Linked DNA regions of Caenorhabditis elegans. Changing the gene in region 3 together with the main gene of any one other region gives a genetic interaction. Each region holds a gene or a part of one and is shown on either strand. Other genes may lie near its edges. The genes, in order: lin-25, peb-1, lin-45 and lin-29.

The links.
Region 1: of lin-45 (region 3) and lin-25, changing one enhances a phenotype caused by changing the other (phenotypic enhancement), as found in Caenorhabditis elegans (one large-scale study listed by BioGRID).
Region 2: of lin-45 (region 3) and peb-1, changing one enhances a phenotype caused by changing the other (phenotypic enhancement), as found in Caenorhabditis elegans (one large-scale study listed by BioGRID).
Region 4: of lin-45 (region 3) and lin-29, changing one enhances a phenotype caused by changing the other (phenotypic enhancement), as found in Caenorhabditis elegans (one large-scale study listed by BioGRID).

The regions. Positions count from the first base shown.
Region 1 is NC_003283.11:12,648,081-12,652,961, forward strand, and holds the start of lin-25 (Protein lin-25), read left to right. Parts: upstream 1-1,844; 5' UTR 1,845-1,876; coding exon 1,877-1,909; intron 1,910-1,979; coding exon 1,980-2,094; intron 2,095-2,141; coding exon 2,142-2,224; intron 2,225-2,271; coding exon 2,272-2,381; intron 2,382-2,431; coding exon 2,432-2,519; intron 2,520-4,881. UniProt on the Caenorhabditis elegans protein: Participates in the inductive signaling pathway downstream of let-60 Ras and the RAF/MAP kinase cascade to regulate specification and differentiation of many cell types. Positively regulates the fate of vulval precursor cells.
Region 2 is NC_003284.9:2,209,441-2,217,085, forward strand, and holds the start of peb-1 (FLYWCH-type zinc finger-containing protein peb-1), read left to right. Parts: upstream 1-1,610; coding exon 1,611-1,655; intron 1,656-2,801; exon of another isoform or gene 2,802-3,092; intron 3,093-4,017; exon of another isoform or gene 4,018-4,140; intron 4,141-4,195; exon of another isoform or gene 4,196-4,577; intron 4,578-4,794; exon of another isoform or gene 4,795-5,142; intron 5,143-5,365; exon of another isoform or gene 5,366-5,551; intron 5,552-5,789; exon of another isoform or gene 5,790-6,006; intron 6,007-6,189; coding exon 6,190-6,312; intron 6,313-6,379; exon of another isoform or gene 6,380-6,501; intron 6,502-6,510; coding exon 6,511-6,612; intron 6,613-6,667; coding exon 6,668-6,841; intron 6,842-7,198; exon of another isoform or gene 7,199-7,461; intron 7,462-7,645. UniProt on the Caenorhabditis elegans protein: Putative transcription factor. Binds to specific sequence motif 5'-[TC][AGT]TGCC[GA][AT]-3' in regulatory elements of target genes such as myosin myo-2. May modulate gene expression, perhaps acting in opposition to transcription factor pha-4.
Region 3 is NC_003282.8:6,742,410-6,750,076, reverse strand, and holds lin-45 (Raf homolog serine/threonine-protein kinase), read left to right. Parts: upstream 1-1,652; coding exon 1,653-1,724; intron 1,725-2,262; exon of another isoform or gene 2,263-2,356; coding exon of another isoform or gene 2,357-2,377; intron 2,378-2,618; coding exon 2,619-2,789; intron 2,790-2,951; coding exon 2,952-3,134; intron 3,135-3,185; coding exon 3,186-3,308; intron 3,309-3,360; coding exon 3,361-3,621; intron 3,622-3,980; coding exon 3,981-4,280; intron 4,281-4,330; coding exon 4,331-4,454; intron 4,455-4,627; coding exon 4,628-4,842; intron 4,843-4,887; coding exon 4,888-5,010; intron 5,011-5,227; coding exon 5,228-5,486; intron 5,487-5,532; coding exon 5,533-5,629; intron 5,630-5,678; coding exon 5,679-6,090; intron 6,091-6,611; coding exon 6,612-6,839; 3' UTR 6,840-7,539; downstream 7,540-7,667. Other genes in the region: smg-7 (DNA/RNA-binding domain-containing protein), read left to right, coding at 7,647-7,667. UniProt on the Caenorhabditis elegans protein: Protein kinase that participates in the induction of vulva and has roles in fertility and viability. Acts downstream of the Ras protein let-60. Required for progression of developing oocytes through the pachytene stage.
Region 4 is NC_003280.10:11,930,211-11,934,862, forward strand, and holds the start of lin-29 (C2H2-type domain-containing protein), read right to left. Parts: upstream 3,015-4,652; coding exon 2,906-3,014; intron 2,856-2,905; coding exon 2,658-2,855; intron 1,872-2,657; coding exon 1,798-1,871; intron 1-1,797. UniProt on the Caenorhabditis elegans protein: Transcription factor which regulates the expression of various genes, including those involved in cuticle synthesis and maintenance, such as collagens, and in lipid metabolism.

The DNA.
Region 1 (4,881 bases), on a different chromosome or scaffold from region 3:
CTCACAACACATGGGTAATTTTTCGACGTTGAGCACGTTGTCCCCCAATGTCGAAAAAAATGAATCTGTAAATAATTGTTTCCTTCCAAAAACCACAACAAACTGAACAAAGTGTTACTTGAAAGTCAAATGTTTTATATTTGCTTCATATTGTGCAATTCCCAAGGTTGGGACTCTGGTTTTCAATATATCTTCTCCGGTTGGCAAGTATTCTTTTCCAATAACTCTTGCAAGGTTTTCAATGAAACTGGAAATAATAATAATTAGACTGAATAAAACCCAACGTTTAACTTGCTGAATTGTTGAGTCTTCAATATTATAAACAGTTTTATTCCTCAACATCATGGCAACTGTTTCATCTTTTATGTACATCTGGATAGACTTTATAATGTCTTTGCACAAAACATTTTCAGTCTCTCCAGTTTTATTGAACTGTTTCGTAAATATTCGGATTTGATTTAGGCATTCCTATAATGGAAATTAGTTTTGAAACATTTACCGTATTTCCTCTATTAGTTTTGCACCCCTTTGCTCAACTTTCACAGCTCATATCTCAGTAGTCGTTTGTTTTATAAAAAAGTTGTCAACTGATAAAATTTTTGCAAGATGTTTTCTAACGTTTGTAGTTTGTTAATTATTTATATGCTTAAAACAAAACGAGATATGAGTTGTCAAAGTTGAGCAAAGGGGTGCAAAACTAATAGAGGAAATACGGTAATTACTTACAATTGAAGATGGATTTTCGTAAATTAATTGTCTCCACATAATTGCCCAGTGTATCTCATCAATACCTTCCAAGATATTTATATAAATTCCATGTTTTAGAGCTCTTTTTTCTTCAACACTGTATCCTCCACAATGAAGAATTCTCAAAATTTCAATATTACAAACTACCGATAATATATTATCTAATTATTTTGAAAATCAGCTGAGTAGGTGATAATTTTTGGAAGCAACTGAAAAAATGTAGTTTTCATTGAATTTACCTTACTTGCTTGACTATTGTACTTTTTCCTGACTCTCCCGGACCTAAATATAATAAAGGTTACATTTTGATTATGTTTTTTTTTTTAATCAGGTACCTATGATAAGAAGCTTTAAAGCCTTCTTCTTACGTTCCTCGAGTATTTGTGTTTCGATTTTCAAGTTTTCATCTATCTTCAAAAATATATTTTCACTCAAAGTTTTACTTAACCTCCACCTGTTTCTTAAGTTGCTCTCTGCCGAGAACATGATTTTTGGCCGATGAAGAAAATGATGCACCCAGCTTTGAAAGGCTGAAAGTTTTGCCTAGTTTTTTTTTACAATAGTGGCTTTGGGTCTGATAAAAACACTAGTGAAAATTACGAATGAAATAATTTGAGACATGCTCAAGATATTGAAAGTTGTTATTTCCAAGTTTATATATAAACTTAAACTATAGTTTGAGTGCAAAGCACATTTTAGAAAATGTAATGTTTCCATGGTAACTTATAAACAAGTAATTAAAACAAGCTTAAAGTTTTTTTTTGAAAATGAAAAGTGAATGAAGCTGAATTAAATCGTCTTAAGAGATTGTTGGGGTGGCAGTTTGATTATTACATCTGAAAATTGTGTAGAATCATTGAAAATAAATGCCGTCCACGCCCAATTTTTCATTGACTCTGAGAAGTGAAGGAAGACATCCCTCCTATGTCAGAAAATGTACAATGGAAGAGGAATGCATCGTACCTAGTCCCCCAAGTAGTGGGGGACAATAAACACTCGGCCACCTCGCTCTATTGCGTGTCTACGTCTCACATCCATTTATACTATTGCACCGAATATTGGGTTAATGTCGGTGTTTGAATATATTTTGGTTACAGTTTAAATGCTTCAAATTTAAATCAATTAAATCATGAATAGTATCAAAATTGATAGTTCAACAAAAGTGAGTTTTTTTTTAAATAAATTTTTATTTTAATTTCAACAAACTTATTTTGTATTTAATTTTTTTTTAGATAGTTATTGAATATATTGACAAACTCCGCAATTGCTCAAATGAAAAACGACAAAAAGTATCATCAGTCATTCGTCCAGTTGACTTTCCCGGTATCTCAACTCAGCAGCTTTGTGGTTTGTTGCAATTCTTTTTTGTAATTGTATTAATATATTTTATTCAGATATTTTGATTCGGTTTGCTTATAATGGAACATATATCGATGATGTTTTCCGGGACCATCTTCTCAAACTTGTCGTAGATAAGGTACTCTGTAGTTCTTTGTTTTATTCCAAAAAATTATAAATTTACAGTCAATCACCTGGAATCAAGTCATCCACAGTGTGATAAATACAAAAACAGATAGAATTTATTCGAAATGTTTGCAATGCGAATTGATCCGGGAAATGGTCAACTATGTACAGTGAGTTGGCATTTTTAATTGAAAAATTTTGCCAAGTTTATTAATTTCAGAATCAAGTCATTTTCTGATAAATTGCATGCAGATGAGCTTATTTCGATTATGAAGCCGACTGTTTTCTTCCTCGCGCAACTGATACAAGTAAGATTTTTAGTATTTTTAACGAGCGATAAATGTTGTTTAAAGTTAAAAGCTTACATGTTGAAGGTTACCAAAATATATGTTCAAAATTGGCAAATGCTCTTTTACTACCTCATCTTTTACTACGTTGCTCTTTTACTACGGTTTACTCTTTTACTACGGCCGTATTTTTTACTACATTTTCCAATTTCGATTTTTTACTACGAAATGTATCTTTTACTACGGCCGTTTTTTTTACTACGGTTTCCGAATTTGATTTTTTACTACGATTCGTATCTTTTACTACGATTAACGATTTTTTACTACCTAATGAAAAAAAGAATATCAAAAGTTGGAATTTGAAAGTTACCTTGTAGCAGATTTTAGGTATAATTACAATTTCACTCTGAAATCAACATGAAAGTTTCATAGCTGTGTTCTTTTTCCAACTTTTGAAATATACTACTGTCTGAGCGGTTTTTAACTGAATCCGACGATATCAGAACGGGAAAATGAAATTTATGAAAATTTTCCAAACAAAACTATTTTGAAACCTTATTAGGCACTGATCAGTTATTGTAGAAAAATTCTCAATCTGTCGTTTTTGAAAACATTCCTGTCAACTTTGTGATTTGGCATAATAATAAGAAACTCGACAAGTAGGGCTCTATATACCCACATATCTTTTCGGACAGAGGGAATGCGAAAAATTAATCAATCGCAAACTTGTTAAGCTTAAGATAAGGAACACTTTTCCCGTGCAAACTATTTGAAAAAAAATCTGAATGGATCCAGATTCGAACCAGCAATGACTCTACTGAAGAGCGCGCGCTTTACCACTTCTCCAAACAGGCGAGTGGCGGCCGCGGTTCCAAGGAATATGTGAAACCAACCGAGCTGTACGAAGTAAGAAGCTTCCATTACTTTTTCAGATATTTAGTTCTGAAAACTTTGTCAACTCTCCTTATCAACAACTAAATGGTCCTTTTTGTAGTTATTTCTACTGGCAAAAAAGAGTGTGCCTGTAAATAATATCCTGCGTATAAACGTTGTTGTCCAGTGAAAACCTTCCCTTGACTTGAAATTTCTAGAAAATTGTACATGCATGTTGATACGAGATACAGAAATGAAACATTTGAAATTAAATTTTGGGCCTAAAATGTTTTTTCTCAAAAACCACTACAGTTCTTATTTTTCCAAGAGTGTATATAAAAAGTTTATTTTTTAAAATAATTTTTCGTATCAAAATCCCATTTTCCGGCTTCAAACGTAACGTTTTCGTCGTTTTCGTTATTGGCAAATCGAATTCGATCGAAATTGAAAAAATTCCGGAGTACGGTACATGTCGGTGTTTGCGTACTTTTGCGTACCGTGCATTTTATTCGACGACACTTCATATTTTTAAAAAGCAAAATTGACAAAAAAGTGCGTTTGAAACCCAAAAACAGGACATTCCATGCGAAAAATAATTTCGAAAAAATTCAGATTGCATTTATTACTGGAAAAAAACAAGATTGGGGCCGTTTTTCAGAAACAAATTTTGGGCCAATTTTTTTTTGAAAATAGCTTATTCGATGAATCACAGAAGTTCCCGAGCTGCTATTAAGTGGAATTTGTAGAATGTTTAAAAATACACTCAAAAAAAGTAGTTTTCAAGATAAATTTCAAGTCAAGCGAAGGTTTTCACTGGACAACAACGTTTATACGCAGGATATTATTTACAGGCACACTCTTTTTTTCCAGTAGAAATAACTACAAAAAGGACCATTTAGTTGTTGATAAGGAGAGTTGACAAAGTTTTCAGAACTAAATATCTGAAAAAGTAATGGAAGCTTCTTACTTCGTACAGCTCGGTTGGTTTCACATATTCCTTGGAACCGCGGCCGCCACTTGCCTGTTTGGAGAAGTGGTAAAGCGCGCGCTCTTCAGTAGAGTCATTGCTGGTTCGAATCTGGATCCATTCAGATTTTTTTTCAAATAGTTTGCACGGGAAAAGTGTTCCTTATCTTAAGCTTAACAAGTTTGCGATTGATTAATTTTTCGCATTCCCTCTGTCCGAAAAGATATGTGGGTATATAGAGCCCTACTTGTCGAGTTTCTTATTATTATGCCAAATCACAAAGTTGACAGGAATGTTTTCAAAAACGACAGATTGAGAATTTTTCTACAATAACTGATTAGTGCCTAATAAGGTTTCAAAATAGTTTTGTTTGGAAAATTTTCATAAATTTCATTTTCCCGTTCTGATATCGTCGGATTCAGTTAAAAACCGCTCAGACAGTAGTATATTTCAAAAGTTGGAAAAAGAACACAGCTATGAAACTTTCATGTTGATTTCAGAGTGAAATTGTAATTATACCTAAAATCTGCTACAAGGTAACTT
Region 2 (7,645 bases), on a different chromosome or scaffold from region 3:
GTAGTAGAAACAGTTTTGTAATTTGAAAAGTTTTTAAAATCAGACAACTGAGATTATATCTCGATTATACAAATCACTTGCTCCGGGTTTTTTTCTCTAGATTTCCATCGGTTTTGGGACTGCACTGGAGATTTTTGGATGAACATGTGAAAATTTTTTAAATAATGCACAGGCCGAACAGTCACACTTTGAAAATAAATTGATGTGATCTATGCAGATAGTTGCAAATTTCAAAAAACTCTACCCCTGAACACTGTCATTCTGCCATGCCATAATTTAGTTCAGTCGGATGAATGACCTTTCGTTGGCCAATTGGATGCGAAACACTGGACGGCACCGAATCGGCACGGCAAGTGGTACTGACAAGCGACAACAAAGACGGATAGACCATCAGTTAAATCAAGATAAGAATTGCTTGTGAACTTTTTCAGATATCGCATTAGGTCGAGAAGTTAATCAAATCATTGCTTTTTGAAGACATCACTGAAAGTGCCAATATTTTAGTAATTGATATTTACACAAGGGACCCCACTGAACTCATCAATTTTAAAATGTGATTTCCAGTTGATGTAAGCAACCAAGAAAAAGGCATATTACTTCAGGTTTTTTGCACTTTTATTTTCCAATCTCACAAATGTGGGCGTATGATGAGCGGCACACTCACGCATCCAAAAGTTTGCCGGATTCATAAAGTAGTATAGAAGTGTCTCACGAGCGTGGAGGGTGGCGCTGGCCCGAAAAAAAAATACGCTGAGACTGTATTGGAAAAGTTTAATCACGTATTTCGCTCGACTCGTCATTTATTTGAGCCTTAGTTTGTGTCTCGCCGTTTTTGGTTTTCCGCCTCTCCCTCATTCCCCCCGGTCTATTCCGAATTTGCCGCGACCCATCACAGGTCACGAACTTTAGTGCCCGCACGCCGCGTTTTGTATCTGCCTGCGCATCTACACGCTGACATACTATTTGTTTGATCCGCGCGGAACTGCCACAAACAACAACAATCTGCGTCCGGCGAAGACGTCGTCACCATATACCCATCTATTGCATCCAACTCATCTCTTTCTTGTATTTAATTCCTTTTTCACACACCCACACACACACACACCACACCACAGGTTGCAAACCATTGTATAATTTTCTGAAAAGCACTGTAACCAATTAGAAAACGATTTTTCAAAAGTGGAGCAGTGCTACATATATGATACCAAAATAATCAAATTTTGTATTAAAACTTTTAAAAAGTCAAAAAAAATCGTTTGAAATGTTTTTTTTACTGACAGTCAAAAAGTGGAAATTTTTAGAGTTTATGCCTCGAACAAAAACTGAGATTTTTCCAATTTCCAATTCCAGTTTGACACACATAGTGCAACTCCAATTGCTCATTATTTTATTAGTTTATTCTTACAACCATCACCCTTTTCCCAGATGTATTTCGTACCATGATGTGTGTATGTGTGTGTGTTAAAAGGTCATTTCAAGCTCTTCGTGAAAGGCACCCTGCTCAGTTTGTGCCCTGTTATGATCAATATAAATGTGTACTTTATTCCAGGGCAACGAAACGAGTAAACACCGAGAAAAGGAAGCATTCTGGATATTCCAAACTGGGGCTGATGATGACAACAACAGTTCAAAAAAATTGCTGGCGGCTTGACCAGGTGAGTGACCAGTTAGATTTGTTCAGCGACAGGCGTTTTCAGTCGGTGGTTTGAGTTTGCACAACTGTTTTCTTGTCCTTTGCGTGAGCCAAGGGGTTTGTGCTGAGTTACCCTCTATCTATTTGTCAGAATACGATGTGATGATCAAAACTTTAACATCATGCATTTTCTTGAGATCCATAAACCCCCCCCCCCCCCCCTCTCGTGTGCTTCTCTGTTTCTCGGTTTGTTCTCCTATTCACCCCGTTCGTTTCAGTGACGTGTCGTCGTTTGTTTCTGCCTGCCAAATATGGCTACGGGGGGGAATATGAATTAAATTGACTTGGTATCTATCATTCCATTTTTATTTTCTGGGAGATGTCAAGAAATTTTGGAGACGAGCGGTTTTTAAAATTAATGTAGTTTTTTTTGTTGTGTTCTCACATTTTAGTTTTCTAATCGGGGAAATGTTGGAGTAAATTGTAATTGATAGGTACACATTTACTTATCAATGGTTCACAGTTTCAGTTAATTATCAGTATTCATATGCGTTTTTATCTTTTGTATAATTTTAACATTCTACATTTTGCAACCAAAAAGCTCTCTATGTTTCTCCTTTACGGGCGGAAAGTAGTGCTGGCTTGTACCATTGCCAATCAGCTCTTTGATTAAAAAACCAACATATCAGTTGACAGTACCATTTTGCCCCTGCTCGACTTCAATGGGCCGCGCCAGATGAGTCAGCGACCTTTGCACACGAGCCCGGACAGTGCTAGGCGCCGGGGCATGACCAATGCGCGAAAGTTTTGTTGCGTAACCGCATGTTTATTGTCCGCTTGCCAATCGTTTTCACTTTTAGTGATACTTGCAGCTCGCCCTCGTCGTTATATTTTTTTTCTGACCGTCGACGCTTGCTTGCCTTCTCCGAAAAGTTTTGATATAAAACTAGCAGTATTTTTCGTTCTGTGGCTCATAGTTTCTGACGTCTTCCTCTTTATGACTTTACGCGGAAGAAAAGGGCAACATCTAAAACCACCCAGTAATATAAAGTGCGCGGTTTCGAGGGAACAGTTTCGAGAGAAAGATTAAGTAGATGAAGGCAGAGAGAACCAACATTTGCAAATATAGTACTAGGTTGGAGGAGTGCCTCGGCGCTGCGATGCCTGTCTACAAGTTTGCACTTGGCTGGTCAGTGGCGTTACGTGCCACTCTCTGTACTGCGCGAGACGTGGCCAAACTGATGCGAAGCACAATATATACACGCCCCGAAGGGTCATTGTTTGCCGTTTGCCCCCCCCCCCCTTTGCGGAAAGGCCTTTCGTACTGTACTCTTGATGTGTGCTTCCTTCCGGCCGGGCACCCGCCACCGTGGTTGTCACAACTCGGATGGCTCCCACTTCCTCCACTGTCGAAACCGTTCGGACCGCCCATTTCCATTTTGGCTCACGCCGGGCTCTCGCACACATACTTTCCACACTTCTACTGTCAGTGGTGGCAACTGGAAGCACTCCATAGTTGACTAATGACCTTTCTAACCTTGTTCCCTGTACTAGAGCTATCAATTGTGTATCATTTCTCTTTTACACTATTTCATGTTTGAATTTTCGAACAGGGGGTCAATCTCTGAGGCAGGAAGGGTGGAGCACCAGTAACGCACTTTACTCGTTTTGCCTTGGCGCGTTCATTGTTCCATTTCACAATTTTTCTCCTAATTTTCTAGACCACTTCAGTTTTTAGAAGCGCTAGATGTTGTTTCATGAAGTGACCAGTCTTGCGTGTTCAGTTTTTTTCTTGGCGTAAATGCCCACTCTTCTTCTTTTCTCCTAGCTGCCCCTTCTTCACTTTCTCCAAATCAAGGTTCAGCTATAGAAAGTAAAATCGCCTTTCACTCATCCTGGACAAGATTGACTACGAGCTTTTGCAGCTTCTAAGACTTCTTCGAGAATGGGGGGGGGGGGGGGGGGGGCGCGACGTGAAAATGAAGGGCATTCATGGATCCCGTAGTAAATATGTGATATCATCTATACCAATTTTCTGGATATCGAACTAATCATTGACGATTGCAAAATTTCGAAAAATTTGTAGGAGAGAAACGATTTCATCTGACCGATCCGAGACTGGCACCCCTTTGTTCTAGGCCCTCTCCCGATTGCCATAGAGATGTCCATCCATCACCTTTCCTGACAACCCCAGATGGTGGCGTATGTGTATGTGTGTGTTTTTTGACTAATTGGAAACGAAAAGCCGACTCCAGACTTGTAATTTTGCTCCAGCAATGTTTTTTTTCCAGATCTTTTCAAATTGACGAATCTGCCTTTAAACGTTTCGTGATAGACATAGAAATTGACATCCGGTCAAATAATTAGATGAAAAAACCTTCCATATTGGGGGCAAAACGTCCAAGTGAGAGTGGATCGGCGACTGGCGCCAAATTGCTGCTGCCGACGCAGTTACCATACTTGGATGTCGGACAAGGCGGATTTCGAGAGTTGTTTTTATGTACACACGCCTTTCACCTCTTTGCCCCTTGTGATCTTTTTTGCATTCGTTAGACGCTTCTTTCATTTTCGTTCCTCATCACCATCATCATCCACTACTAATGGTTCAGGGCACGGCGTATGCGCGCGCGTGCCTCACACCATCGGATCGCGGATGTTTTGGCGGGGTTGGCTGTTCATTTAGGGGGGAGGCGGCCGATTGAAATGAAGAAGATGTTGTGGATGTAGAAGTAGGAGGAGATGGAGGAGGCAAAGGCCTTCTCCCTCGCGGTTCTTCGTGGCAGGCAGCCTGACCCCGTTCCTTACTGAACCGCCCCCCCCCCCCCCCTCTCACTTCCACCCGACGCCGCCATCGGAATTTTAGACTACCAGTAGAATATGGATAGCGGAAGGTGTGAAACTTCAGACTGCGATTCTCTAGATTCACGCTTACTGTATTTCTACCTTACTACTAGTCTTGTTACGATTACCTTCCTAATTTTAACGTTTGATATGTTTTCACCTTCGGCTTCTATACAATTCCCATCATCTTGAAATAGGTATTATCAGCATGTAAGCATGCCAAACAAATATTTTTGTTGTCCAGTGGTGCTCGACCGTTCCAGGATCGGTATTATGCAATTTTTCGCTGAACCAAGCATATACATACTGATAAGAAAAATGTTTGTTCTGTCGGCCACTGATTACTAGACACTTGAATTCTGACCGCCATAAATGGCGAATCGTACGCGAGAAGTGCTGACGCCGTCTTGCGCCGATGTCCAATAGGACCTTGCACTTTGCCGATGTTGCAACAGTAATAGTTTCCATCAAGGTTATGCGGACTAGTGCCACGCGATTGGGTCAAGCCGTTGGCTTCCGCCTTTCTTATCAAAATCTTCGCCCTCAATTACCTAATTTTGTGGTTTTTTTTTTCTCTCCCGAATCCATCAATCCGGTGTCAATCCGTGTCTTCCGCGCTAGGTCATGCGGGCGGCGACGGCGCGGCCCTTTTTTCGGTAATCGTCCTGGCATCCCACACTTTCCATTGGCCCGGATATAATAACTTTTTGGAGACCCCCTTTCTGGTGCCTATTTGCAAAACTTGCTTCATTTTTGGTCACTTTTACTCGAACTTTCTCTTCGACGATGACCCCCTCGCCCGCCACAAAAACAAAAAGTGAAACTTGGAACGGTACTCGTTATACCTCATGCCTTTACTTTCTCGCGCCACTTCCTCGCAGTATTCCATGGATGGAAAAGCGGTCAAAAAAGTATTATGATCAGGCTGGCGGAAGATAGATGGAAGGAATTGTGGGTCAACGAAGTCAAAACACCATTACTCGATAAAAGTCGCCGCATGTTGCGGAATGTGTGCCATCGAAACTGGTTACTGTATTTCTTTTCCGAGAATTTTGCTTTGCCCCGCTATCAACTTTTTGTTCTATCTTCTTTAGAAATTCCGAATTAAATAATGATAATCATATACTTCTGTATTCTTTTTAACCCTTCTTTAGTCTGTTTTTGAAATTTCGACCAACCACCTCAACAAAATTTACCAAAATCAAAAAAAAAAGTGAATGTGTCAATCTCGTTTCAACGCATGTTTCTCGCCAATTTCCGTACAGTCAGTTGTGCCTCCTGCCGGTCACTCATCCTCTATCTCTTCGCCACTCTCGTTCTCGCGCACCTCATCCAAATAACAGTATTCGGTGTCTTAGTTGGCAGCCGGTTGGTGCCTGCCACGATAGGTTATCAGTTCAAATGGCACGCGCCTCTCTCGACTGCCCCATCAGCTGATTTGTCCGCCCCAAGCAACTGATAGTGCCTGGGGCGGAGAGATAGATGAGAAAAAATCGTCTGATTCTAGGTGTCTGAACCTCGCTCGCTATCCAACAGCAGGTCCGCTCGTTTTTTTTGTCACATCTCTCTTCGTTGGTCATATCTCTTTTTCATCATCTGTCTAGTTTGAGTTCAATTTCTAATTCATCAGAGGTCATTTGGTTATTATTATTCTATTGCTCCCATCGCTATTTTTTTTTGCTCATTTGATTTAACACATCAATTTTCCTTTTCAGACAATGCTGGGTCTTGAAAAGCCTGGATCATCAGACATTTCGTCTTCTTCCACTGATACTTCCGCCATTTCTCCGATTAGCGTGAGCAGTATGCCACTATCACCGGACAAGGAAAAGAAAAAGGTAAGTACTTTGAGATAACTGTTTGGACTGTCCGAAGGGCAAACATAGTTTTGAAAGAGAACGTTTGCATAGTTGACCGGTGTTTGTTCAGACGGAAAATTTAGGGCTTCCTTCCCACACGAATTTCAAAACAACCTGACACCGGGAAACACCGCCTTAACTGGCGATTTTGGGCCGATAATAATAGTTTTTTTTCAGATCTCATTTGTCCGATACAATCCAGACATTCCACAAATTGTCACATCTTTCAAAGGATATCAAAAACTTATGTATCAAGGCTACCGATATAATATTTATCAGGTATCATAGACCATCATTCAAGTGGTGACTTTCATCACGAGTTGTTTTTTTTCAGATTGCTCCAGAACGTAACTTCAAGTCTTGGAGATGCGTTTGCGCTAAGAAAATGCATGATGGGCAGTGGTGCAAATGCCGAGCTGAAACAACCATGGATAATAAAAACGCATGCACGAAAGGATCACACAATCACCCTCCAAGACACCATGTCGCTGAGATCGAATTTATCAAGGTACGTGGCGAGATTACACAGTCACAACTGTCTAGGTTAAGAGCTAGTGCCCTTTGCAATTGGCGCAGTGCCAGATCAGAGCACCGATATCATAAGGTTGAATTTGCCAGCTGACTCTTTTTGTTCCAATTGGTTCCTAGGCTTGGCGCCTTCAAGTTCGAATTTCATAACGTCATGTGGAACCTCTAGCTTTTGAGAGTGTCTAAGGGAATTGTGTGTACGTGCAAAAAAGATAACTTTTTTTTATTTCGTAACCCTTAAAAATTCACTTCATGGCACCAGTAGATGGAAAAAAAAGATCGTCGGCCCTTTTCGAGTGTGTCAAAAATAGTTTGTGTATACAAGTTAAAAGTGCAACGAGATGCGCTACTTTCGGCGCTGGGTGGCGCCGCCGAGTGCCTAGGTCAGTTGCGATGTTGGTCAGGTCAAATAAAACAATCTGAGCGTGGCACGGTTCGAAACATCGGCCACTCATGCGCGTGCCGCAATTTTGCCCCCCTCCTCCCTCCCATGTTGATGAACCGCGAATAATTCGCAAACAGATCCGCGCATTGCCAAGGTCAAGCCATGGATGGCAGGCACGCGGCAGCGCGCGCGGGGACAGGCTGGGCCATACCACCCGACTCGTTAACCTAGATGCGCCAATTTTCCCAAATCTATTGCGTCGCTGCCATTCAAATTGACGGTACAAACTTTTTGCGAATTCTTCCGAATTGGGTCATCGGAAGGGTCAATTCTGACGCAATGTAAAGTGCATCGAATTTCAAATCCTGATTCGACCTTTGTAGATGCAGTTTAAAAATA
Region 3 (7,667 bases):
TCGATTTTTCGATTATAATCTTTGATTATAATCTTTGAATAGCGTTCAATTTGAAATGTCCAATGCTCTTAAACTTTTAACTGTAGAGGTAGATTTGGTGTTAATTTCTAAAGCTGGCGAAAACCTTGCAATAGATACTTTTAAACTTTTTTGGAGCTCGTTTGAGCATGTCGGCTGAAAATTTCTGAAGACAGGACGTCCCAATGTACGATTCAAAGTTAATTTCGATGAAGCCAAATTTCTGAATTTCTGTTGAAAATCTATATTAAGAACTACGATATCTCACATTAAAATGAAAATAATTGTTATTTTGCGAACTACAATTATACTGAAATAGGTTTTTTTTTGAAATTCTAGTGATCAAAGAAATTTGAAAAAGTTTTGTATAGTCAACATTAGATCAAAATAATGCTTTCGTAGTTTGTTTATTTAAAACTTTTAATAATAATCTTTAGAACCTCAATCTTTTTGATAAACCAAAACAAATATTTGATAGAAAAATGACCTCTTTGATGTGGAATATAGTGTATTTTGTTTCTTTTTTGAGGAATTGTTCGCACTTTTCAAGTGGAAATTGGCGGAAAAAGATGAGAATAGAGTGGAATGAAGAGGCGGAACGAACAAAACACATTTGATGCGCGATCCCATTGATTTTTATTCGTAGAATTTGGATTTTTTTCATAGATTTTTCAAAATAGATTTTTAGACTCACGCTTATTCCTCAAAACATGTATCAACTCAGATGGGTCTCGTCGCGAGAAAACACATTAAGACATATGTTTTAATCTCCGTGATGCCAGCTGCTTTTATTCTGCTTTCCAACTTTCGAAAATTTAGTTTCAAAATAACTGTTTAAAAGTGGTAAAGTTGACAAATGTTAAGATAATAAGTTGATAAGTAATACTTAAGTTAAGTTGATTCCAAGGAAGCAAATGATACCAAATTTTTCTAAATCCTAGAATGAACTATTTTTTCGTGGCAAGACCAATCTTAACAGATCAGTTCACTTTTCAGAAAATTTGAAAATTACCATAACGTAAAGGTAATCAGTTGAGTCATGTAATCCCTTTTTTCTCAAAAATGTCCACATTCTGCAAAATCTTAGTTGCAATATGTCACAGACATTTGTCTAGTCTGTCAGTTTCAGATAAACTTTTCCCGTTTTTTCAACTTTCACAGCTAATTCGGGGTGTACTAACTAGAAGTAGCTTATTAACCAAATGTCATCTAGTTCCTTCTTTTATAATTTGATTAGTGGTTTTTTTCGAATATATTCTTTTCTAGTTTGTGTTTTGTCACGTATGACCTTGTTTCTTCAAATCAACTTGCTGCTCTCTTCACAAACTAAGGTCATCTGTTTCGTGTTAAGACCCAACGCTGAAAACATTGTCAACCTATTCGTGGCACGTGTCGCTCCCGATTTACACGTTTCTTTTTCTTTGCTCTCTTTTTCTATCTCTCTCGATCAGAGCACAGAAACCAGTGAGAAAAAATAGATGGCGAAAACAAACCCCGCCTCTCTTTTTTTGTGTGTGAAGAGAACCATTGGATCCAAAGGGGCCCCTGTTAACAATATATTTTTACTTTCTGAAATTCTTCTAAAGTTATCTGGAGATAATTATATTCCATAATTGATCACATAACATTTTAAAATGTCTGCAATGGCTGTACTGTATTCAGTTTGTCACTTTCATGGAGGCTGGAATCGTCGGAAATCGGCACCAGTAAGTTGAAAACTGATTTAAATCAATAGGGTACACTCTGTGAAATCATAGTGATATTTGAATAATCAAATGACTTTATGAAGCAACCCGCGGGGCTTCTGTATTGAGAAAATACACGATTGCATTTAAAACTTTGCGAACACAATTGTTTAATTGGCCAGCAAATTGAACATTCGTGATTCCTTTTTTGAACATGGGAATCCCACGTTTCATTCGTAACATCTTTTTCAATACAAGTTTTAACTTTTCTTTTCAGCTATCGAGTTACTGTAGATTTGAAAAGTTAATTTATCAACTAATGAAAATAAACGTATTCCATATTTCCATTAATAATAGATTTATTTAAAGCTTCACTCCATCTACATAAATTCATATAACCGAGCGCAACGCTGTCCTTATTATTTGAAAATTCTAATAAACCCTGCAAAATCTGGGTTAAAATCTTCTGCGCGAAAATGGAAGAGAAAAGTGTGTTCGGCCCGCGGACTAACTCCCTCCGTGTACTCTTCTCGGAAAAGAAAAAAATCATCTTTGCGCCCCTTACCGCCGCTCTCTTTCTTTTGTTGACCTTCTATCTGCGAATATATTGATTTTCTGGTTTATTTTATTTTGGAATTAACTGCAATTTTCACATGGAATGCTCTCGCGAAACGGTGTGTTTTCGAACGTTTTCCACAAATAAAATGAAAGTGAAAAATGCTAAAGGGAAACATTTATTTGTTCAGATTGTTTTAAAAAGTGCTTCACAATAATAAAATAGAGCATCTGAAAAGTAATTTACTTATTGCTTGTTCTGATTTCTCAAATGTCCTTTAAAAGTCCGTGTTTAATGTTTTACTCGTCCAAATTGTCCTTTTGTTTTTTAATTACATGTAATCACTAACAGCAATTTAGAAGTCACCTGTCACATCATCTCAAACGCCATCATCATCGTCGACACGCCGCCGAATGAGTCGGATTAATTTCAAAAAGTCATCGGCGTCGACCACCCCGACGAGCCCACATTGCCCATCTCCGCGGCTTATAAGTCTGCCGAGATGTGCTTCTTCATCTATTGATCGGAAGGTAGAAAATTAGCAACGAATCCTTTGTCTTGAATTTTTTAACACTAATTACATGTTACTTGTGGGGAATCGTGTTAATCTATTCAATTCAGAATCAAGCGTCCACTTCTCATTCCAAAGATTATCAATTAAATATTTATATGTAACTCATAATTATTTTCAGGATCAAGCTTCGCCGATGGCAAGTCCTTCAACTCCTCTTTATCCAAAGCACAGTGATAGTCTTCATTCGTTATCTGGACATCATTCCGCTGGAGGAGCAGGAACAAGTGACAAGGAACCGCCAAAATTCAAATACAAAATGATTATGGTTCATTTGCCATTTGATCAACATTCTAGGGTTGAAGTAAGCAAAAAATTCACTGTGAAACGAAGAAAATAAGCACATTTTGTTCAGGTTCGTCCCGGTGAAACCGCGCGGGATGCCATTTCGAAATTGCTCAAAAAACGGAATATCACACCTCAATTATGTCACGTGAACGCGTCATCTGACCCAAAACAAGAATCTATTGAATTATCGGTGTGATTTACTGGAATCTAACAGCATAATTCTTATTTTTGAATATTTTCAGCTGACAATGGAAGAGATCGCATCCCGACTGCCTGGAAATGAATTATGGGTTCATTCAGAATATCTGAATACAGTCTCATCGATTAAACATGCAATTGTTCGAAGAACGTTTATTCCACCGAAATCATGTGATGTATGCAATAATCCTATCTGGATGATGGGATTTCGATGTGAATTTTGTCAATTCAAATTTCATCAAAGATGCTCATCGTTTGCACCACTTTATTGCGATTTGTTACAATCTGTACCGAAAAATGAAGATGTGCGTTCAGAACAAAGGCGGGCGGCAATATTACAAAATTACCAATGTTGTCCCAACATTTGTCATTAACGTCGAAATATAGAAAACCACATTATTTATCTAATGACAACTTTTAATTATGTTTAAAGATCTGTGAAAATGCACAATAATGGCCATTTGCCATAGGCAATTCGCAACTTCTAGGTCATTTTTGTGCATTTTCATAGATGTTTAAACATAATTAAAAGTTATCATTAGATAATTAAGGTGGTTCTATATATTTTTTACACTGATTTTTAATGAAAAATGTTGGAACAACATGGCGTAATTGCTCACCTCTGCTTCAGAAACAATTCTTATCTAAAACATTTAATTTTCAGCTAGTGAAAGAACTCTTTGGGATCGCATCACAAGTCGAAGGCCCAGATAGATCAGTTGCCGAAATAGTTCTTGCTAATCTAGCTCCAACGAGTGGACAAAGTCCAGCTGCCACACCAGACAGTTCTCATCCAGATTTGACGAGTATTAAACGAACGGGTGGTGTCAAAAGACATCCAATGGCTGTTTCTCCACAGAATGAAACATCTCAATTATCTCCATCCGGACCTTATCCACGGGATCGGAGCTCTTCTGCTCCGAATATCAATGCGATTAATGATGAGGCAACAGTTCAACATAATGTAATAGTCACCAATTTTAAAAGAAAAAGTCTAAAATGTATTATTTTCAGCAAAGAATTCTTGATGCATTGGAAGCTCAGCGATTAGAAGAAGAATCACGAGATAAAACTGGATCGTTACTTTCAACACAAGCACGTCATCGACCTCATTTCCAGAGTGGACATATTTTGTCAGGTAATCGAAAACAGAAAACATAACGATTCGTCAAAAGGTCAGGGAAGAAAAACAAAATTCCAAATTTAAGACGTTTTTCTAAAGTTATAAAAACAATTTTTACTCTATTCCACCTTCAAGAATTTCCCAAACGACTCTAATTATTTTAATTTCACTTATTCTCAATTATTCAGGAGCTCGAATGAATCGTCTTCACCCACTTGTTGACTGTACTCCTCTTGGCTCGAATTCTCCTTCATCTACATGTTCATCACCTCCAGGTGGCTTAATCGGACAACCTACTCTTGGACAATCCCCGAATGTATCAGGATCAACGACGTCATCATTAGTAGCCGCTCATTTGCATACTCTCCCATTAACACCACCACAATCAGCACCTCCTCAGAAGGTAGAATTCAAAAAAATCTATTTTTCTTCAATTAAAAATGTTTAGATTTCACCTGGTTTCTTCCGAAATCGTAGTCGATCGCCAGGCGAACGACTTGATGCACAACGACCCAGGCCGCCACAGAAACCACATCATGAGGATTGGGAAATATTGCCGAATGAATTTATTGTAAGTTTATTCTACATCAGCAAGGGTGCACGGCTTTTGCAAACCGGCAGTTCTACAAAAGGAGCATGTTATCCTAATTTTTTTCATTTAAATTCAGTGATCGAATATAGAAAAAAAACATTTTATTTATCTGAAAATAGCTTTTTTTTTTACAGTTGAAGCAATAAAAAAACGCTCAAAACTTCTGTCAAAACTATTAAAACAAGCATTCTTTTAGATTCAATACAAAGTTGGTTCGGGATCCTTCGGTACCGTCTATCGTGGAGAATTCTTCGGAACTGTTGCTATAAAAAAGCTGAATGTTGTTGATCCGACGCCTTCTCAAATGGCAGCCTTTAAAAATGAAGTTGCAGTTTTAAAGAAAACACGTCATTTGAATGTTTTGCTGTTTATGGGATGGGTTCGAGAACCAGAAATTGCAATTATTACTCAATGGTGTGAAGGATCGAGTTTGTATAGACATATTCATGTTCAAGGTGATCTGAACTGAGATTTTAATTCTTATAATTTAATAATTTTCAGAGCCACGCGTCGAATTTGAAATGGGTGCTATCATTGATATACTGAAGCAAGTGTCTCTTGGAATGAATTATTTACATTCAAAAAATATTATTCATCGGTAACTGACCATATCTATAATTTATGTTTAAATGTTTAAAACATTTCAGTGACTTGAAAACGAACAATATATTCCTTATGGATGACATGTCAACGGTAAAAATTGGAGATTTCGGCTTGGCAACTGTCAAAACGAAATGGACAGTGAACGGAGGTCAACAGCAACAACAACCAACAGGAAGTATTCTCTGGATGGCACCTGAAGTCATCAGAATGCAAGATGATAATCCATATACCCCACAGTCTGATGTGTATTCTTTTGGAATATGCATGTACGAAATTCTATCTTCGCATCTACCATACTCCAACATTAATAATCGAGATCAGATATTGTTTATGGTTGGAAGAGGGTATTTGAGGCCGGATAGATCGAAAATTCGACATGATACGCCGAAGAGCATGCTCAAATTATATGACAATTGCATTATGTTCGATAGAAATGAGCGGCCAGTATTTGGAGAGGTGAGTGGGAAATACCGACTTTAGAAATTTGGTAGAACTATGATTTATTATGGGGTTATTCATGAGTGTCAAAAAACTTTTAAAAAATCGATTTTTTGTACTTTGTACATGTTTCGACAGCGTCGACGAGCGAAAAACTACAGTAAGCCGCCATGCGGCGAGACCATACGTTTTCATATGACTATGTCTCTTCAAAAGTTGTGTAAATTTACGAGCTGGGCGTTCTCCCCGTGTACACCGCGAGGACAATTCGGAATTTATTTTCTTCCAGTACTTCACACATTTTCGCTCTTTTTTTTCACATTTAAAATTGGCAGTTTTGTCTAAATATGGTGGCTTCCTTTGATTTTTCACTCTTTGACGCTGTCGAAAAATGGATAAAAACATGCTTTTAAGAAATCGATGTATTTTTTAAAAACATTTTTTTCGCTCATGAATAACTCCACTACACTGAAAAATCCAAAAAAATATTGTAGTTTGATTTTTAAATAAATTTTAATGAATGAATTCCAATTTTTCAGGTTCTCGAACGACTTCGCGACATAATTCTTCCAAAATTGACTCGTTCTCAATCAGCTCCGAATGTTCTTCACTTAGACTCGCAATATTCGGTGATGGATGCTGTAATGAGAAGCCAAATGCTTTCCTGGTCATATATTCCACCTGCAACTGCAAAAACCCCACAATCAGCAGCAGCAGCGGCCGCTGCTAACAAGAAGGCATACTACAATGTCTATGGTCTCATTTAGTTTTATTTTGTTTTTTTTTTTGAAAATCAAGGGACACTGCAACTTTTTAGTTGATTTTCTCGTCTCTCCCCGAATATGTACCTTTATTTTCTCTCTTTTTTCTATTCTTCCCAGTGATTTTCCCTACCCCATGTGTACACTAACCAAAAAACTTCCAGTCGAAGAATAATCTCGCCCATCGTTATTTTACTAATCATTTCTCGTCACATTGAATCCTGTTCTATTATTCACCCCCTCATCACCCATCCCGATATTATTATTATTATTTTAACCCCGTATTCACCGTTTCCTCCAAAACTTAAAAATCCCACCAAAATACTTTCTTTCCAGTCTAAGTCCGCCTGCAATCGTTCCCCCATGTGAAATTGTGATAATTTTCATATTTTTGTTTCGGCTAAACCGGTAGAACTTTTTCTTTTCCAACTATAATGCTTTTTATTGAAAACGTTTCTTTTGATAAGTTTTCAATGTTCCCACCCCATTTCCGTTTCCAAACATCCCAAAGATTCTCTGTATGTATAGAATTATATAGAATCCAATGCCTATCCGTTTTGTTTTTGTCATTTCGAACACATTTTGAAACTTCCATTTATTTTAATTTCAAAATGCAGCATCCCCATTCCTTTTCTGAACCGGGTTATTTGAATCATTTAATTTTTGCAAACAAAAAAAGTTGAAGATAAAATAATTTTTCGCCTGACTTCCTGTTTCTTCTTTTGAGTGGCTAGAAAAAGTGTAGGATTTCAGATTAATATTTTAAAATTTGAAAAAAAAACAAAACAATTTTGTTCCAGAGGATTCCACAGGATGTCGGACGAATGGGAACAG
Region 4 (4,652 bases), on a different chromosome or scaffold from region 3:
GTTCTAGTTATTTTGTGAAGATTTGAAAAAATCCAGTTGAATTTATGTAAGAGACTCAATGTAAGCAAAAGCCTAAGCCTAAGCCTAACCATAAGCCTAAGCCTAAACCTAAGCCTAAGCCTAAGCCTAAGCTTAAGCCTAAGCCTACGCCTTAGCTTAAGCCTAAGCCCAAGCCCAAGCCCAAGCCTAAGCCTAAGCCTAAGCCTAAGCCTAAGAATAGGCCTAAGCAAAAAAACAAAAAAAAACAGAAAAATAATCCTCAAAATTCAAATCAAATTTGAAAAAAGGAACATTTAACAAAAATTGTCAATCAAACAGTTCAACATACAAAAATGAGAGAGACAGATCAGGGGAAAAGAGCACACACTCTTGCTCAAAAATCCTACATTTCTCACTCTCTTTTCATCTCCACAAATTTCGCGTTCCATTTCGTCCACTAGGTCAACAAGAAAAAACGTCGACGCACGCAAAAAAATGAGCTCATTTTTTAGTTTTAAACCATACTGGTTTTAAACACAAAAATACTGTTCACAATAATTTCAGCCTTTCAAAAATTTGATCTGTGTACCTACGTTCGCGGGCGCGCGAAAAAAGGACGAGATGGAGATTTTGGGCTCTTTCTCTCGAGAAAAAACAACAGTCTCTGTTTCTATTTGTTTCCTTCTCCTCCTCCTCCTTCTATCCCAAATACCATTTTTCCTGCAAAAAAAAGACGAAAAAAGAGAACAGACGGACATAAGAAGAGCACACACAAAAACGGTACGAGCTCTTGCTGCTGCGAAAGGGAGTTTTTGCGGGGCTGCTTACGATCGAAAAGTGCACATTTCTACAGAGACCATATTGAGACCGGATAAAAACAAATTAAATTTTTATGGAGAAAATTCACGGCGGAAAAGTCGAGGAAAAGCTTGAGCTTGATCACTTTTTGGTCTCGTTGAACTTTTCAAACTTTTTGTTTGCTTTTTAGAGCACAGATTTTTGAACGAAGCCTACTTGCTTTCAGAGATTTCCGGCAAAAAGGTGGAATACAGTCATTTTTAAATTTTGCTTAAATTGTTAGAACAAGAAAAAAAATTTTGTAAAAAATTCCAACAATTTCAAAATTTTTTATGATAAAAAAACGCCTAAATTGAATTTGAATTCCCGCGCAAACAAACCAAAATTTTTTCGTTTTCTGGAAAAATAGTTGTATCCTTTTTTTCTTTTGTAGCCGACTCAAAATATCTTTAAATTCAAAAAGCTAAGCCTAAGCCTTAGAATAAGCCTCAGCCTAAACCTAATACTAAGCCTAAGCCTCAGCCTGAGCCAAAGCCTAACCTTAAGCCTAAAACTAAGCCTAAGCCTAAGCCTAAGCATAAGCATGAGCCTAAAGTAAGCCTATCTATCATTTAAAGCAATATTTCAATTATTTTCAAAACTATATTCTGAACAAAAAACTCCAATAAAAAAGGTACCTGTCTGCCTGCCTCAAGCTTGCGTATCTATTGGGATGTACTTAAAAGCACCTTGCAAGGCAGGCACGTAAGAAGGCAAGCATGACGTTTTTAAAAAAATTATTTATTAAAATGCATTCATTAAAAAATTGAGTAATTTTTTCTCCGTGTTTAGGCAAAACAAAACTAATGAAATTAAAAATGTTTCAAAATTTCAAAATTGTTTTCTAGTTCGAAAAAAGTGCGGAACACTTCTACGAAAAAACACCCCCTGTCCCCTGTCCATAGCCCCCGAATGCATTTCTAACTAGATTTCAAAAATGTTTCTTTTTCACCCTCGTTTGAATGTGTTCCCTATGCAAACCTGTGGATATCTTCCAAATTGTGAAAACATATGATGTGGCAGGAGAGAATTCTGATGGAAGTTCAGTAGATCCGCTGAAAATTGAATTGAATTAGTTATGATTTGCCGAAAATCTGGATGGTCAGGTACATTGGGGGTACGTTTGAACTGGTACATAAAAATGGGAAAGACACGTGGTTTAGAGAAATGACACGATTTTTAAAATGTAGAAAATTACTTTCAAAGTCACCATCAAAAGTGAATGGAAATAAATCGGGGCTCCATGAGCAGTCTGCAGAAAATTTTTCATTTTTTAGGGTTAGGTTTAGGCTTAGACTCAGGCTTAGGCCCAGGCTTTAGTTTAGGCTTAGACTTAGACTTAGGCTTAGGCCTAGGCTTAGGCATAGGCTTAGGCTTAGGCTTAGGCTAAGGCTTATGCTCAAGCTTAGGCTAAGGAATATGCTTGAACTTTGGTTTAGGTTTAGGCTTATGCTTAGGCTTAGTCTTAGGGTCAGGCTTAGGCTTGGATTTGGGCCTAGGCTTACTAGGCTCACTCGGGAATATATTGACTTAGAAGTACGATAAAAGTTTATCTTCTTTTTGTACGGGTAGATGAAGTAATTGGCTACTAGAGTCTAAAATAATATCTTACCGACGACCTTCGGAAGACCTGGGCTCAGGTTCAGGCTTGGATTTGGACCTAGACATGGGATTTTTCTTAGGCTTTGTCTAAAGTTCAGTTCTTTGATTTAAGCATAGGCGCAGGCTCAATCTCAGTTTTAAGTTTTCTGCTATCAAAATTGATCGCATTTTCTATTCTTTGAAGATACAGAAATTGAATTTAAATGAAATTTTCGAAACAAAAGCTTTGATAAATCTACCTTGATTAAAATGCGGAAACGGGTTTGTCGATGAAGCAGCAGTTGCCGAGTCAATGGAGTGTTGCGACAAAGCCATATTCAAATTAGTGATCGAATGATGTGCTGGTGTGGATCCAGTTGATCCGGTCACATTGTCCGAGTTGGCACCGTCCGTTGAGTCAGTGCCGTCGGTTGACCGACTTGATGATCTCACTGAAACTTTAACTTTATTTTTTATGATCAGTTTCTTGAAATAATCAAATCCTCACAGTTTGTTCCAACACCAAAATGGGTGGTAGATCCGGAGCCAGTGGTGGTTCCAGCTATTCCAGAGTCCACTGGAGAGTTGAATGCCGAATCTAGAACAGTTTGATCCATTGCGTTGAAGAAGTTGGCTTGATCCTCGCGAAGCTGAAAGGAAAGTATATATTTCTTTATAGATTAAATGCCTAAAACATCTACTTGGATTAATTTTTATTCTCAACTTTGATTATAGCTTATATCTCAGTTGTGGTTTTCTTCGACTAAAAAATAGGCAACTAACAAAATATTCGTAAAATCTTTTTCTACCATTTCCTAGTTAATACAGTAACCCATCGGCTGTAAAATTAAATATTACCTGGCTCCAAAAATTTTGGGAAGACCCATAAAAATTACACGGCCACATTGCTAATAATCTACACTTTGAGAAAAAAAAATACTATAGGAAAAAGTTAATTAACAGAGGTGGGGCCTAAAAACTCATACTCATACCGTAATCGGAAAACACGGCAGGTGGTCTATGTTGATTTTTTTTTGTTTTTGCATAGACTTGGATTTCACAAGTCGAGGAACAACATACTGCACCTGCCCCGAAGTACGGCGGTGAAACTTGGAAAGTGTAGCATTATTGTACCTAACGAATACTTTAATCTAATGAAATTCAAGACAAGAAAAAAATCTCCTAAAACCATGTGACCCAAAGAAGAACTGAAAGATTTCTTATATGCCCTTTGTCTACTCCTTTCGATTCCCTTTTACTCGGTTCCGATTACACGTGCCCACCACCTGCCACGAAACGTTCGAATTCACTTTTTTTCCCGTTTCATTTTAGTCGGTCTCTCCATTTCGAGACACAACTCATAAATATGGAAAAGTGCACAGTGCACACAGCTGTGCAAGTTTTGAAATATGTACAGCAGATTTGAAGAGGGATTGGGGTGAAAGTTAGCGGGTTTTCGTGAAGCCGCCTAAGCAGTTTAGAATACTGTAAAAGGAGCAGGCGAAAAATAGCGTCAAGAATTTGGAAACCTCTTTTTGAGATGTCCTTATCAGGGCTGGGCGGAAATTGCCGGTTTGCCGATTTGCCGAAAATTTTAATTTCCGGCAATTTGCCGGTTGCCGGTTTGCCGGTTTGCCAAAAATTTTCGTTTCAGGCAATTTACCGTCTTGCCGATTTGCCGTAAATTTTGAATTTCGGCAAATTTCAGGTTTGCAGTTTGCCGAACATCTATTTGCCAGAAGTTTTTAGAGGGATTTTTAGTAAGACGGAAACATTGTGACTTTTTGAATTTTTTCCCGTTTTCTTTATATATTTGCATAGAATTTGCTTACTTTTCAGAATAGATGTAGGATGATCATAGGATGCGTATAAATTTGCCGATAAAAATTGAATTTCTGAAATTTTCAAAAAAAAATGTGTGTGCAAAACCACAATTTGCCGAAAATTTTCGGCAAATCGGCAATTTTCCGGTTGCTGATTTGCCGGGCCATTTCTATTCCGGCAATGCTCCGATTTGCCGGAAATAATCGTTTTTCTTTTTGTTAATAATTTCTCATTCTCTCCCCCCAACCTCTACCCCAAACTTCCCCAACTCTCCATACCTACCGTTATCACCAGCACTAGCATGTTTCAAGAAAGTCCCCAAATACATTTTCAGTAGATCGTAAAAACTATAAGGTTTTTACGAGTTGTGCCACCACGCTACCGTACTAGTAGTGATGAAACAACTGATAAAATGTAGAGAGACACTTGTA